Linked DNA regions of Rhinolophus ferrumequinum. The protein of the gene in region 2 interacts with the protein of the main gene of each other region in a biochemical or structural test. Links are inferred from orthologs where the notes say so. Each region holds a gene or a part of one and is shown on either strand. Other genes may lie near its edges. The genes, in order: SMARCA4, CEBPA and PARP1.

Region 1 (3,600 bases), on a different chromosome or scaffold from region 2:
ATTGTAAGGCAAATTAGTAAAATACATATAACTAGCTCACCATATGCCGGGTGCTGCAGTGTGTTAAGCAGCTTCAAACCGTGTTTCCCCGAAAATAAGACCTAGCCGGACAGTCAGCGCTAATGCGCCTTGTGGAGCAAAAATTAATATAAGACCCGGTCTTATTTTACTATAAGACCGGGTCTAATATAATATATACCGGGTCTTATATTAATTGTTGCTCCACAAGGCGCATTAGCGCTGACTGTCCGGCTAGGTCTTATTTTCGGGGAAACACGGTATGTTACCTCATTCAATCCTCACAACCACCGTTTGAGGTGGCATCACTGTCATGCCTGTTTCACAAGTTGGGGGGGACCCACTGATAAGTACCTTGCTCAAGGTCAAGCTAAGATTTAGAATCCAGGAGGTCTGATTCCAGAACAGCACTCCTCACCACCATTCCACACTAACTACCAACCCACACCCTCCTTCTGGGGGAATGAGGTTTGGGAAACAATAGCCTAGAAAGTTAAAAACCAACAACAACTAAAATGTTTCCTGCTTACAACCCACCACTAATCAGTCCTGTACCAAGCATTTCACGCACATGTTCACTCAATCCTCCCAAGGGCCCTTCACTCATTGCACAAACGTTTTGCTAAGGGCCTACCATGTGCCAGGCCCAAAGAACACTGCGGGAGACAGCACCCTACTCTGATGGCCCTCAGAGAAGACTGGATGTGGAATTACAACCCGGAGTGAACGTCTACACAGGAAAGGACCAAGGCAACGTGCGAGTGTAGCAGAGGGAACAATGACTATTACAGGGCAGTCAAAAGCCAAGCCTGGACATCCTCCCTGACTCGAGTAGAGGCCCCCTCTTCCAGGCAGCCTCCTTGATCTCAGGCTCCAGCTACTCCCCTGGGTATCCACTGTGTTCCTTTCACAGTAAGAGTTGTGAGGATTAAATGAAAGGCCAAGGGGAGTAGTTCCCACATTTACCACCTGTTCTCCTACAAGACTGGAGAGGCTCCTCAGGGCATCCAACCACCAACCATCTGACACCCAGTTAGGGACTCAATGGATATTTGCTGAACAATGAAGAAGGAGATTGAACCAGACAGTAACAACAGGGCTTCTCACTTCCCAGGAACCATTTTTCAGGTTTTCACCAGCTCCATTTGTGACATTATTCCCATTTCACAAAGGAGGAATCTAAGAGGTACAGAGATTAAACTATTTGCCTAAAGTCACACAGCTAAGTGACTGACAGCGCCAGCAATGAAACCCTAATTCCGTCTGTCAATTCAAACTGAAAACTTGTTTCAAATTCCTGGGAAGTGGCTCTTACACTTATTTATTCCCTACTTTTCCAAGGATTCACTGGGAGAAAAAAATAAAAATCAAGACTGGTGTCTTCAAGACCGTCAAAACACTCTCTTAAAGGACCATGTTTTAAATAAAAGCCTTCATCTGGAAAATCAATTGGGAGGAAGGGAAAAGGATGCAAAACAAATACAATGCTTTCAACAGCAAACAGTGCCGGTCCTCCTCCACTTGCTGTCGACCACTCAGGGCAAACATTTTGAAGTCACTACTTGCAAGGGATGGGCCAAGTCATTTACCTTTCCTTGAAAACCTAGAATAAGTGATTTTTAAAATAAAATCTTAGGTCGGCTAACCCAGGGGTGCTGCCAGGAGGCACTGGACACATCTGGGTTTTTTCTTACGGAGCCTCGATCACAGCCTCCCTAAAGGGCAATATTCGGTTCGGACCTTTTACAACATAGCCAGAAAATCCCCGAAGCCCGGCTATTGTTGCAGCCGCCGCAGAGACCCCTGGCCCGCCAAGGGGGCAGCAAGCTTTGTCCCGCGACCCTGGCGAGAGCGCGCGCGGGGGTCGCGCGGCCTCCACGCGGCCCGGGCCCCCACCCCACCCGCCCGCGCGGATGCTACAGCCGCCGCGGCCTCGCTACACTGTGGCTTTCCCCGCGCGCGCGGTGCCGGACGGGCTTCTTGACCCTCGGGCGCCGCCGTACCCCAGCCCTGCTCTGGGCGCCAGTGGCCCCCTCCCCCCTCGGCCCCCCGGCTCCATTCAAACCACCCTCCCAAGCCCCGCGCGGCGCTCCCCCCGCGGCCCGCGTTCCTTACCGGGAGCCGCCGGCACCGCCGCCTTCCCGGCACCGCCCCCGACCCTCCGAGCGGGGCCGGAGGCAGAGTAAGCTTCTCGCCTCTCCTCACGAAACAAAGAAGCCGCCGCCGCCACCGAGCGAGAGTAAGCCTCGTGCGCGCGCCCGCCTCGGCCGCCCCCCCACGCCTCCCGCGTCCCCGCTGCGCGCGCACTCACCGGCTTCCTCCCCCCCACGGACGGCCTCTCTCGCTTCCGCCGCCCGCCCGGCCTCGTGCGCGCGCCCGCCCGCCCTTCCGCTTCCAGCGCGCGTGCGCGTGGGACGAGGGCTAGGGGAGGTGGGCCGGACCAGAGAGAGCGTACGCGCCCGACGCACCTCCCACCGATTTCCAGGAAGGTCCTGCGCTTGCGCACAGGCGTCTTCTTCTTCCGCACGTCGCGCGTCCCGACGCCGCCGAGCGTGCGCAGAGCGGGCGCCACTGCGGCGGTGGTGGCGGCGGCGACGGCACGTTGGGGGATGGGACGGGGAGGCGGTGGCGTCTGCAGGGAAGGGATGGCCGAGTGGTCGTGATAGTCGGAATGAGGACCTGAGGCCCTGTGCGTGAAGCTGGACTGAGGTTGAGCAAAGTCGGCCAAGCGCGGGCCTGAGAATCGCTTTCATCCCTGGTAGGGGGATGGCGGGGCCTGTTGCGAAGCCAGGTGGGCCCCCACCATACCTGTCTTTTCTGCCTACCTAGTTCTATTAATTAGTTTAGCAAATATTTATTAACCTGCTCCTGTGTCCCAGGCGCAAGTGCAGCGGCACAGAACAGACAAAAATCTCAGACCGCTGTGGTGCTCACGGTCTAGTAAGGGAGGCAAGTGAGAGACAAGAGAAATAAGTAAAATACGTTGTGTTGAGACAGAGACATCTTGGGTCGTGAACATTTTAAATGGGACAGCCAGGGAAGGGCCCGATGCGAAGAAGACATTTGAGTCGACATCAAAGCAGTGAGAGAGCCTTGTTCCTAGTGTGAAGGCCCAGAACTCTAGGCGGCCTCTTCTGTGTTCTGAAAGTATCTCCAGTGCCACCTCATTTAGTCCCCCAACTGGACAAACGCTCCCCAAGGTCAGGTTCCACAGCCCGTGACTCTCCCCACCTTGCCTCTTTATCCTGCTCTTCATTTTTTAGGTGTCAGCTGATTCACCAACTCAAGCCTCGCCTCCTTTTTGACCACTGACTCCTTTTCCCTTCACATTTCTTGGGTACCCTCTTTTCTGCTGTCTGTCTCCCTTCCCTCAATTTAAATGACAAAGAAGTTAATTTTAGTCATTAGTGAATACCCAGCATCGCTAGCATGCTTTGTAGCGTAGAGTAGAAGAGGAGATCGCACACTGGAATCAGAAAGACCTGGATTTAAAACCTGACTCTATGTTAGTAGCTGGTGGGTGCCAGGCAAGTTTATTGGACTCATGTACACTACCCTTTCTTCACCTGTAAAATGGAAATA
Region 2 (3,818 bases):
TATTTGGAAAGCTGTTCATAACTTGGGTCCCTCTGGGATGGACTGACTGTGCTTCATGTTTGTATGCCAATGCTGGCGACATATAGTACAGACATGGCTGATGGTCCCAGTGTCCCTTCACCCCTTCCCCAATCCCCAGACCGCAGGACCTCTAGTTCCCCTCTTCCACCAGACCAACACTCCCATGAACATATGTCCTTATAGCTAACCCACACCTGGCTTTCTGGTCTGACTGGGGGTGGGAGCTCCCATGGGTCTCTTGGTGACCCCCATCTCAGGAAGTTCTGCCCTGGAAGCCCAACCTGTTGCAGGCTGGGAGGTGAGAGGCAAGGAACTAGAGACCCTCCACCTTCATGTGGAACTAGGGGAACGACCTTAGGTTCAAAGCCCCAGATCCCTGTGTTTCCTCCCCTCCAAGGACAGGCGCTGAGCAGCAGCTGGGGCTGGCTTGTCGGATCTCTGCTCCCTTAAATTTCCTTCTGCTGGGGGCCTGCACTCCTCCTTCTCTCATGGGGGCCTGCTGCAGCCTTGCAGCCTCTGGACGAGGCAGGAACCCTCCAAATAAAATGACAAGGCACATATTTGCTCCCCCTACTTGGTAGGAATCGGAGCGGTAAGTTTGCAAATTTGCATTTCCAAGGCACAAGAATATTCCTTAATACTAGAGTCGCCGGGCTCCCGGCTCGGCCCTACCGCGCTTCTCCTCTCTTGCAGGGAGAAACCACTGCCTGACCCCTCATCTTAGACGCACCGTGTCCCACGCAGAAGAAGGCAAGGGGCATGCGCGACAGGGCAGGCTTTCATATGGCATCGGAATCTCCTAGTCCTGGCTTTCGCGGCTGGGGCAGTCTTGAGATTCGGAGACCCGAAACCACTCTCTGGGTCCCAGCCAAGGGCCAGCCCAGGGCGGTCCCGCCGCGGCGCGCCTCACGCGCAGTTGCCCATGGCCTTGACCAGGGAGCTCTCGGGCAGCTGGCGGAAGATGCCCCGCAGTGTGTCCAGTTCGCGGCTCAGTTGTTCCACCCGCTTGCGCAGGCGGTCATTGTCACTGGTCAGCTCCAGCACCTTCTGCTGCGTCTCCACGTTGCGCTGCTTGGCCTTGTCCCGGCTCTTGCGCACCGCGATGTTGTTGCGCTCGCGCCGCACCCGGTACTCGTTGCTGTTCTTGTCCACCGACTTCTTGGCTTTGCCCGCGCCGCCGCCGCCGCCCGCGCGGAGGTCGGGGTGCGCAGCGGCCAGCCCCTTGAGCGCGCCGCCGGGGCCCGGCAGGCCAGAGGCGCCAAGCGCGGGGGCTGGGTGCGGGCTGGGCACTGGCGTGGGCGGTGGCGTGGGGTGGCCGGGCTGCAGGTGCATGGTGGTCTGGCCGCAGTGCGCGATCTGAAACTGCAGGTGCGGAGCAGCCAGGTGCGAGGGCGGCGGGTGCGGGTGGGGTGGCGGCGGCGGCGGCGGCTGGTAGGGGAAGAGGCCGGCCAGCGCCAGCTGCTTTGCCTCGTCCTCCTCGCGCGGTTCCTGCTTGATTACCAGCGGCCGCAGCGCCGGCGCCGCGACGCGCTCGTACAGGGGCTCCAGCCTGCCGTCCAGGTAGCCGGCCGCCGTGCAGCCGTAGCCGGGAGGGGGGCCGTGCGCTCCCCCGGGCATAACGGCGCCTCCGGGGCCCACTGGGACACCCGGGTAGTCAAAGTCGCCGCCGCCGCCTCCCGCGGGGGCCGCGGCCGCCTTGGCCTTCTCTTGCTGCCGGCTGTGCTGGAACAAGTCGGCCAGAAACTCGTCGTTGAAGGCGGCCGGGTCGATGTAGGCGCTGATGTCGATGGACGTCTCGTGTTCGCAGATGCCGCCCAGTGGCTCCGGGGCGGCAGGTGGGGCTGGGGGCTGCGCGGAGCCAGCGCCCCGCGGAAAGCCAAAGGCGGCGCTGCTGGGCGCGTGCTGGGGGCTCTGGAGGTGGCTGCTCATCGGGGGCCGCGGCTCCGTCTCGTAGAAGTCGGCCGACTCCATGGGGGAGCTAGAGTCCTCCCGGCATGGCGAGCCTCGGCGGCCTCCAGGCTGCGCGGGGCGCCGCTGCTGCCGCCGCCCACCAAGAGCCCCTACTAGCTTGCGCCCCAGCAGCTCCGGGTCGCGAATGGCCAGGCCCGCGCGGGCCCCGCATTTATACTAAGGGTAGCGGTCGCCCTCTAGTGTCTGACTACTGGCGACGGCGAGCGGCGCCTCCTGGGTCTTAGCGCCTGCCTTCCGGAGGGGACCGTGAGTGGGGCAGGAGAGCAGCGCTGGCGAGAGAGGCCGCAACACAATACCTCATGCCTCCAGCGCCAGGAGCAGAGCTGTGATCCGCGAGCCATGCCCCACTCTCGGCCGAGTTGTCGCCCCCACGCACACGTGGTCGGCGGCGGGCCCCCCTTTTCTAACCTCCTCAGGACACTCACTTCCAGCCAACTGCCAGGGGAGCCCAACAGCACCCAGCCGCCGCGTCGGGGGTTGGTGGAGGGCAAGTCTTCATCTCTGAGCTACTGTGACGCGGACTTGCTTTAAAAGCTAGAATCAGTCCTGTCCAGGATCAGGGTCTTTGGAAAGCCGCGGCGTGGACAAGGGGCCGGGAACGGGGTGGGGAGCGGCAGGGAACAGTTTTGGAGGTAAGGCCTAGCGTACACCACCGCACCGCCAAGCCCGGAGCGAGGTGACTTTGCGTCTTTATCTCTGATCTCCAGGATACCCCACCGATTCCATGCAGACGTACCGCTCCGCCTCTCGCAGCACTTCAGAGTCCCACGGGCTCAGTAGCGCCGGGCGCTAGGACCCCGCGGGGAGCGGAGGGAAGAGGAGGAGGCCGCGTCCAGAGAGCCTGGAGGACCTGTTTGGTCTGTTCGCTTGGGCTGGAAAACTTTCTTTTTAATTACTTCTCCTAGCCGGAGCTCTAGGGTTGCTAGGCGCGTGGGGCTGGTGCGGCTATTCCGCGCAGGGCCACCAATTTTTTCCTGTGCAAAGGGGGGAGTTGGACTTCGGGGCTGGGGTACCGGGGCGAGAGGGAGCGCACAGGAGGCGAACATGCCTCCGGGCGGAGGATCCCGAAGCGGACCTGACTGTCAACTGGGTTGGAATCCACTGCTTTTTCCCCACTCCCCATTCAGGTGGGCTCCAGGGGGAAGTGAGGGTTTCGAGGGAGCCCCGGCCTCGGAGTCTCGGAGGACCAGGGTCGGAGCACCTACTGGGAGAAACCTGCTGGGTGGTTCGCAGGGCGCTGAGTTCGCGCGATCCTGGGGAACAAGGCGGCCAAGCCGGGGTGCCCCTGGGCATTGCGCCGCCTCCGCACTCATTGGTGCCCTGGAAAGGGGTTTATGGCAGCGCGTTCCTCAGCCACGTGGCGCCTCGCGCGTTCTATATGGAGTTCTCATGGGGCCTCCTGGGCCGGCCCGCTCCAGCCTCTACCCCCATCCTCACCGCCCCTACTACGTCCTACACTGAAGCCCAAAGCTGCCTGGGTGCTGGATGGAGGTGTACCTCCCTGAGAACCGCGAGGCTGCGCTGGTCAAGACCCTCTTCCAGACACCACCCTTCCAAGGCCTGGCAAGGCACCACAACCTGCCCAGGAACCCTCAAGGTGGAAGCCTATCTCACCGTGCAAAAACATGGCCGTGGTCACAGTAAAGAAGCAACTTTTACTGGAGGACTCTCATTGTGCTTTAATCAAGTTCCTACTCAACATATTCCCAATGATTAATGACCCAACTGCTTCATTTTTTGGTCAGACACAAGGTATTTTTAGCTTGATGCTTTTGGACTGGAAGTAAAAGTAGATACATTAACTAAATAACCAATGTGAGCCTGAG
Region 3 (3,818 bases), on a different chromosome or scaffold from region 2:
TAATTTCCTTCACTGTCAAGTATGCTGAAAGAGGCCCCAGTTAAACTTCATTAGGTTCAGAAGTTGATTCCTCAATGGAGCCACCCCAGACTCCCCCAGACAGAGTTCTCCCTCCTCTGTGTCCCTGCCTCATCACACTGGCTACTTAGGTTTCTGTCCGTCCTCCACAAAACAGGGTCTTCTGTGGCTGCCGGGGGAAGACTATGGATGTCCCTTTCTCAGAAAAACATTTAAAAACACGTGACAAAAGACAGAGGCTCACAAAGAAAACCAATTATATTGAAATAATTTCCAAAACAGTTTCTTAAAAGTTTATAGTGAAACAGTAACTCATGAGCTTGAAAGCATTAAGTAACAAGATCTAATACTCACTCTCATAGCTACTGTAATTTTGAAGCAGTGATGAGCATAAATGGTAAATGATATGTAGAGAAATCCCCCAACCAATGTAAAGTGATATGAAAATATCTGTAATTACCATTGGTGACAAAAATCACAAGTACTACTAAGATGCCTTTGTGGCTTACACTCATAATGGGAGGTAATGACTTTTATCTAGAGGTTAGTGACGATTGAGATGTAAATTTGTTCTCTAAACTCACTAGACCTTCTATTCACATCCCGGGCCCCAGCGAGGCTCAAAGATGCTTCGTGGGAGATGTGGCAATTCAGTTGGCAGGCCTTGTCTGCTATTCCAACCTTGATTTCCTGCCACTTCTGGGAATAGACTCCTAACCAAGCTCCCAAGATGGGCAAACAATGCCTAGGGCACAGCTCCATCAGGTGACATCCACCCCTGGAGAGCAATGTTTACCAGTCATCTTCCCTTTAACCAAACAGGAAGCTCCCTGGGATGGAGTGCCCCTAGTACCCGACATGGAGCCTGGAACCTCCTAGTGTTTATTGAATGAGTAAGTACTATGTGCCAGGTGCCGAAGATAACAAGATGACAGCCCCAATTCCTGCCACATCACGAAATGAGATAACCTTGGCACCCACTCCCCTCCACCCCTTCAATTTTTAAGTACTATTGAAAATCCGGTGAAGGCGCTCCCCTCATTCCTAAAACACATTTCTGCCTCACCATGGGGGGAAAAGTCAAGTTACCTTGACCGTGAACACTAAGGTGGGACAACAGACAGCTTTATGTTGGAGATGGGGAGACAGGGCAGGTGAGAACCAAGACCACCCAAGCAAACAGGAGCCAACTGGAAGCTGGAGGAGTCAGGCACCCCCTTGGCAAGGGCCTACAAACACACCGTCTCATAGAGGACTCCCAGCACCCACGGGCATCTCCCAAGCCTTAGGAAACCCCGGACGGGGATCCCCAATCTGTCAATAAGTCCCGAAGAGGAACCCCCCCCCAACACCAAGCCACTTACTCAAACCCCATAAGCTGCAAATGCATCAAGAGATGCAACTATGAAGCGAGGAAGTTGGGGGAAATGTTATTTTAAACCACAAATCGGGCAGAAAGTGAATGCACTGTACAGATTATGACACAGAATTGCATAGTTTTGCATAACTTTTAAAAATGAGGGTGAGCGACTGTTGAAATGATAGCCCAAAATAGGCGTTTTTTTTAAAAAAAAAAATCCTCCCATGTCAGTGGCCGCCATCAATGCAGAGCAAAAATCTTCCAGAACAAGCTAGGTCAAAATCAGAAGAGCCTCAAAAGGCCACGCACACATTTTTTTCCGCCAGAGACTAACGGTAATAGAAGCGGTTCCTTATTTTTACAAAACAAAAGGCACCACCAGTTCCAGACTGTATTTCCCGGGCTTTTCCTGCAAGATCAGCGAAATCTTCCGGAGGGTCCGCCCCGTGGGCCACACGCTGGACGAGCAGCAGCAGCGCCTACAGGCCTCGCCAAGGGTCCGAGGGACCGGCCCGGCCCGCTGCTCCGGGCAAGCCCTCCCCCACTCCTCCCGGAGACGGAAGCCCCGCCGCGCACAAAGCGGCCCTCCCGCCCGCACCTGCACCATGATGGCCATACGGAGCGAGTCCTTGGGGATGCTCTCGCTGCATTTCTTGCAGGAGGCGCGCCCGCTCTTCGCATACTCGACCCGGTAGAGCTTGTCCGAGGACTCCGCCATCGTACTCCTCGTGCTGCTGCAGCTCCGGGAGCCCGACGCCGCCCCCTGGAGACCCGCTGCCACCGCCTCTCCACCCCGCGCGTGCGTGCGTGCGTGCGTGCGTCCGTCCGTCAGTCTGCTCTCTGCAGGAGCCCGAGCACCCAGAGCCGTCGCCGAACACGCCGCGCCGACCACCCGCCGCTCGCGGATAGATTGCTGATGCCTGGTGGCGGGAACGCCCCCGGCGCACGCGTTTAAGGGGCGGGGCCGCCCGCACGCGCGCCCTCTGCCGACCGCGGCGGGCGGTTCTTGCCCCGCGCCTGCGGCTGCGCGAGCTCAGCTGGCTGCTGCTGCCGGCAGAGCCTGGGCTGGTACCGCCTGTGCACCTATGGGAAGGACCGGACGCCACCTCATTAACCATTTTGTCCCCTGGGAGGCTTACATACTCTCCCAACTAATTCTACCTTCATTCCCTTTCAATGAGCGCGTCACTTTACAGTTGTTGGAAACAACTCAATAATTGTGAAACTCATCACTACTTGAAATTGCAATAGTCAGAAGATCGGTTGCTACTAGATTTTTATTTAGATTTTGTTATTTTTTTGTTATAGAACTATATTATATAACTGCGTCCTTTTTTAATCCTATACATTTTGTTCTATTCATTTAAAACATAATGGGGTGTGCTGTAGAGGACAAGAAAAAACAGGATGAATGAAACTCGTAAGACATGTTAAGCATAGAGAAGAAGAAAGTTAGTAGCTTAAGAGACATGATACTGACGTAGGCAATTATGTTGTGAGACATAGGCAAGAACCCTAAATACGGTAAGTGACCTGTTAGATATGTTGAAGGTAAATACAATAAGGGGAATACAGGATGGAACAAATAAAAGAATTTTGCTTAGAGGATAATCTGATCATTTGACTTCTGGGCCTCTCCTTGGTGGTAATATTATGGTCTGATTCTGGCTCCCATATGCTCCGCCCCAAAACAGCAGATAAAACCCGTGTGTGTTCTGCAAGCTGATTGGTGAGCTACATCTGTGGCCAGGCATACTTCTCCTTGTGTCTCTCTGACAGGTGACTGTGAGTTGGCTTCAGTACTCTGTTGAGTAGCCTCGAGCATCCTCAGCTCTGGTCTTTGTAACCCTACCATCAGTGGGGCTGGCTGATGCAGCAGAGAGAAAACTTATGAACATTGCATAACTTGGTGTTTCCATGGTGTGGTCCTTCCACCTTGCCTCTGTCCTGTCCTATGTGTGTTTTCTGCCCCACGTTATTCCCCTCGCCGCAGGAGGTTTAAATCAGGTGTTTCGAACTGATGTAATAATCCGTGTAATTCAGGCATCTTAATCTGGTCTGGGAGGCTTTCTGTTTTGTGACTTCTGACACAGTTTGCCTGATACTGTATCTGGAAGCTACCATTGCATTAGAGGACCATAGACTTCATTGGACAGACAAGGGGGTCCTGAGCACACACACCAAGGTTAAGGATTCCTGCCCTAGACCCCTAAGGAGAGCGAGCGATACCCAACTGCCTTCTCAATATTTTTATTTGGATGTCTTATATTCTTCCCCAATGATGTCCAAAACCTCCTCCACTGTTTCTCGTCTCAGGGAATGGTTCATGGTTCTCTGCATTGCTTAGGTCAAACTCCTGGAATCAACTTGACTCCTTTTCTCTTCTGTCCAACATCCAATTCATCTCTGAATCCTGACTTCCATAGTGTCTTACCACCTT

The links.
Region 1: the proteins of CEBPA (region 2) and SMARCA4 form a complex in vitro, tested with the Homo sapiens proteins (2 studies listed by BioGRID, with this or other methods). The link is inferred for Rhinolophus ferrumequinum from reciprocal best matches to the Homo sapiens genes CEBPA and SMARCA4.
Region 3: the proteins of CEBPA (region 2) and PARP1 form a complex in vitro, tested with the Homo sapiens proteins (2 studies listed by BioGRID, with this or other methods). The link is inferred for Rhinolophus ferrumequinum from reciprocal best matches to the Homo sapiens genes CEBPA and PARP1.

Annotation. Positions count from the first base shown.
Region 1 is NC_046301.1:39,452,661-39,456,260, forward strand, and holds the start of SMARCA4 (transcription activator BRG1), read right to left. Parts: upstream 2,476-3,600; 5' UTR 2,330-2,475; intron 2,309-2,329; exon of another isoform or gene 2,134-2,308; intron 1-2,133. UniProt on the Homo sapiens protein: ATPase involved in transcriptional activation and repression of select genes by chromatin remodeling (alteration of DNA-nucleosome topology).
Region 2 is NC_046298.1:34,512,894-34,516,711, forward strand, and holds the start of CEBPA (CCAAT/enhancer-binding protein alpha), read right to left. Parts: upstream 2,967-3,818; 5' UTR 1,993-2,966; coding exon 928-1,992; 3' UTR 1-927. UniProt on the Homo sapiens protein: Transcription factor that coordinates proliferation arrest and the differentiation of myeloid progenitors, adipocytes, hepatocytes, and cells of the lung and the placenta.
Region 3 is NC_046310.1:14,340,553-14,344,370, forward strand, and holds the start of PARP1 (poly [ADP-ribose] polymerase 1), read right to left. Parts: upstream 2,299-3,818; 5' UTR 2,097-2,298; coding exon 1,977-2,096; intron 1-1,976. UniProt on the Homo sapiens protein: Poly-ADP-ribosyltransferase that mediates poly-ADP-ribosylation of proteins and plays a key role in DNA repair.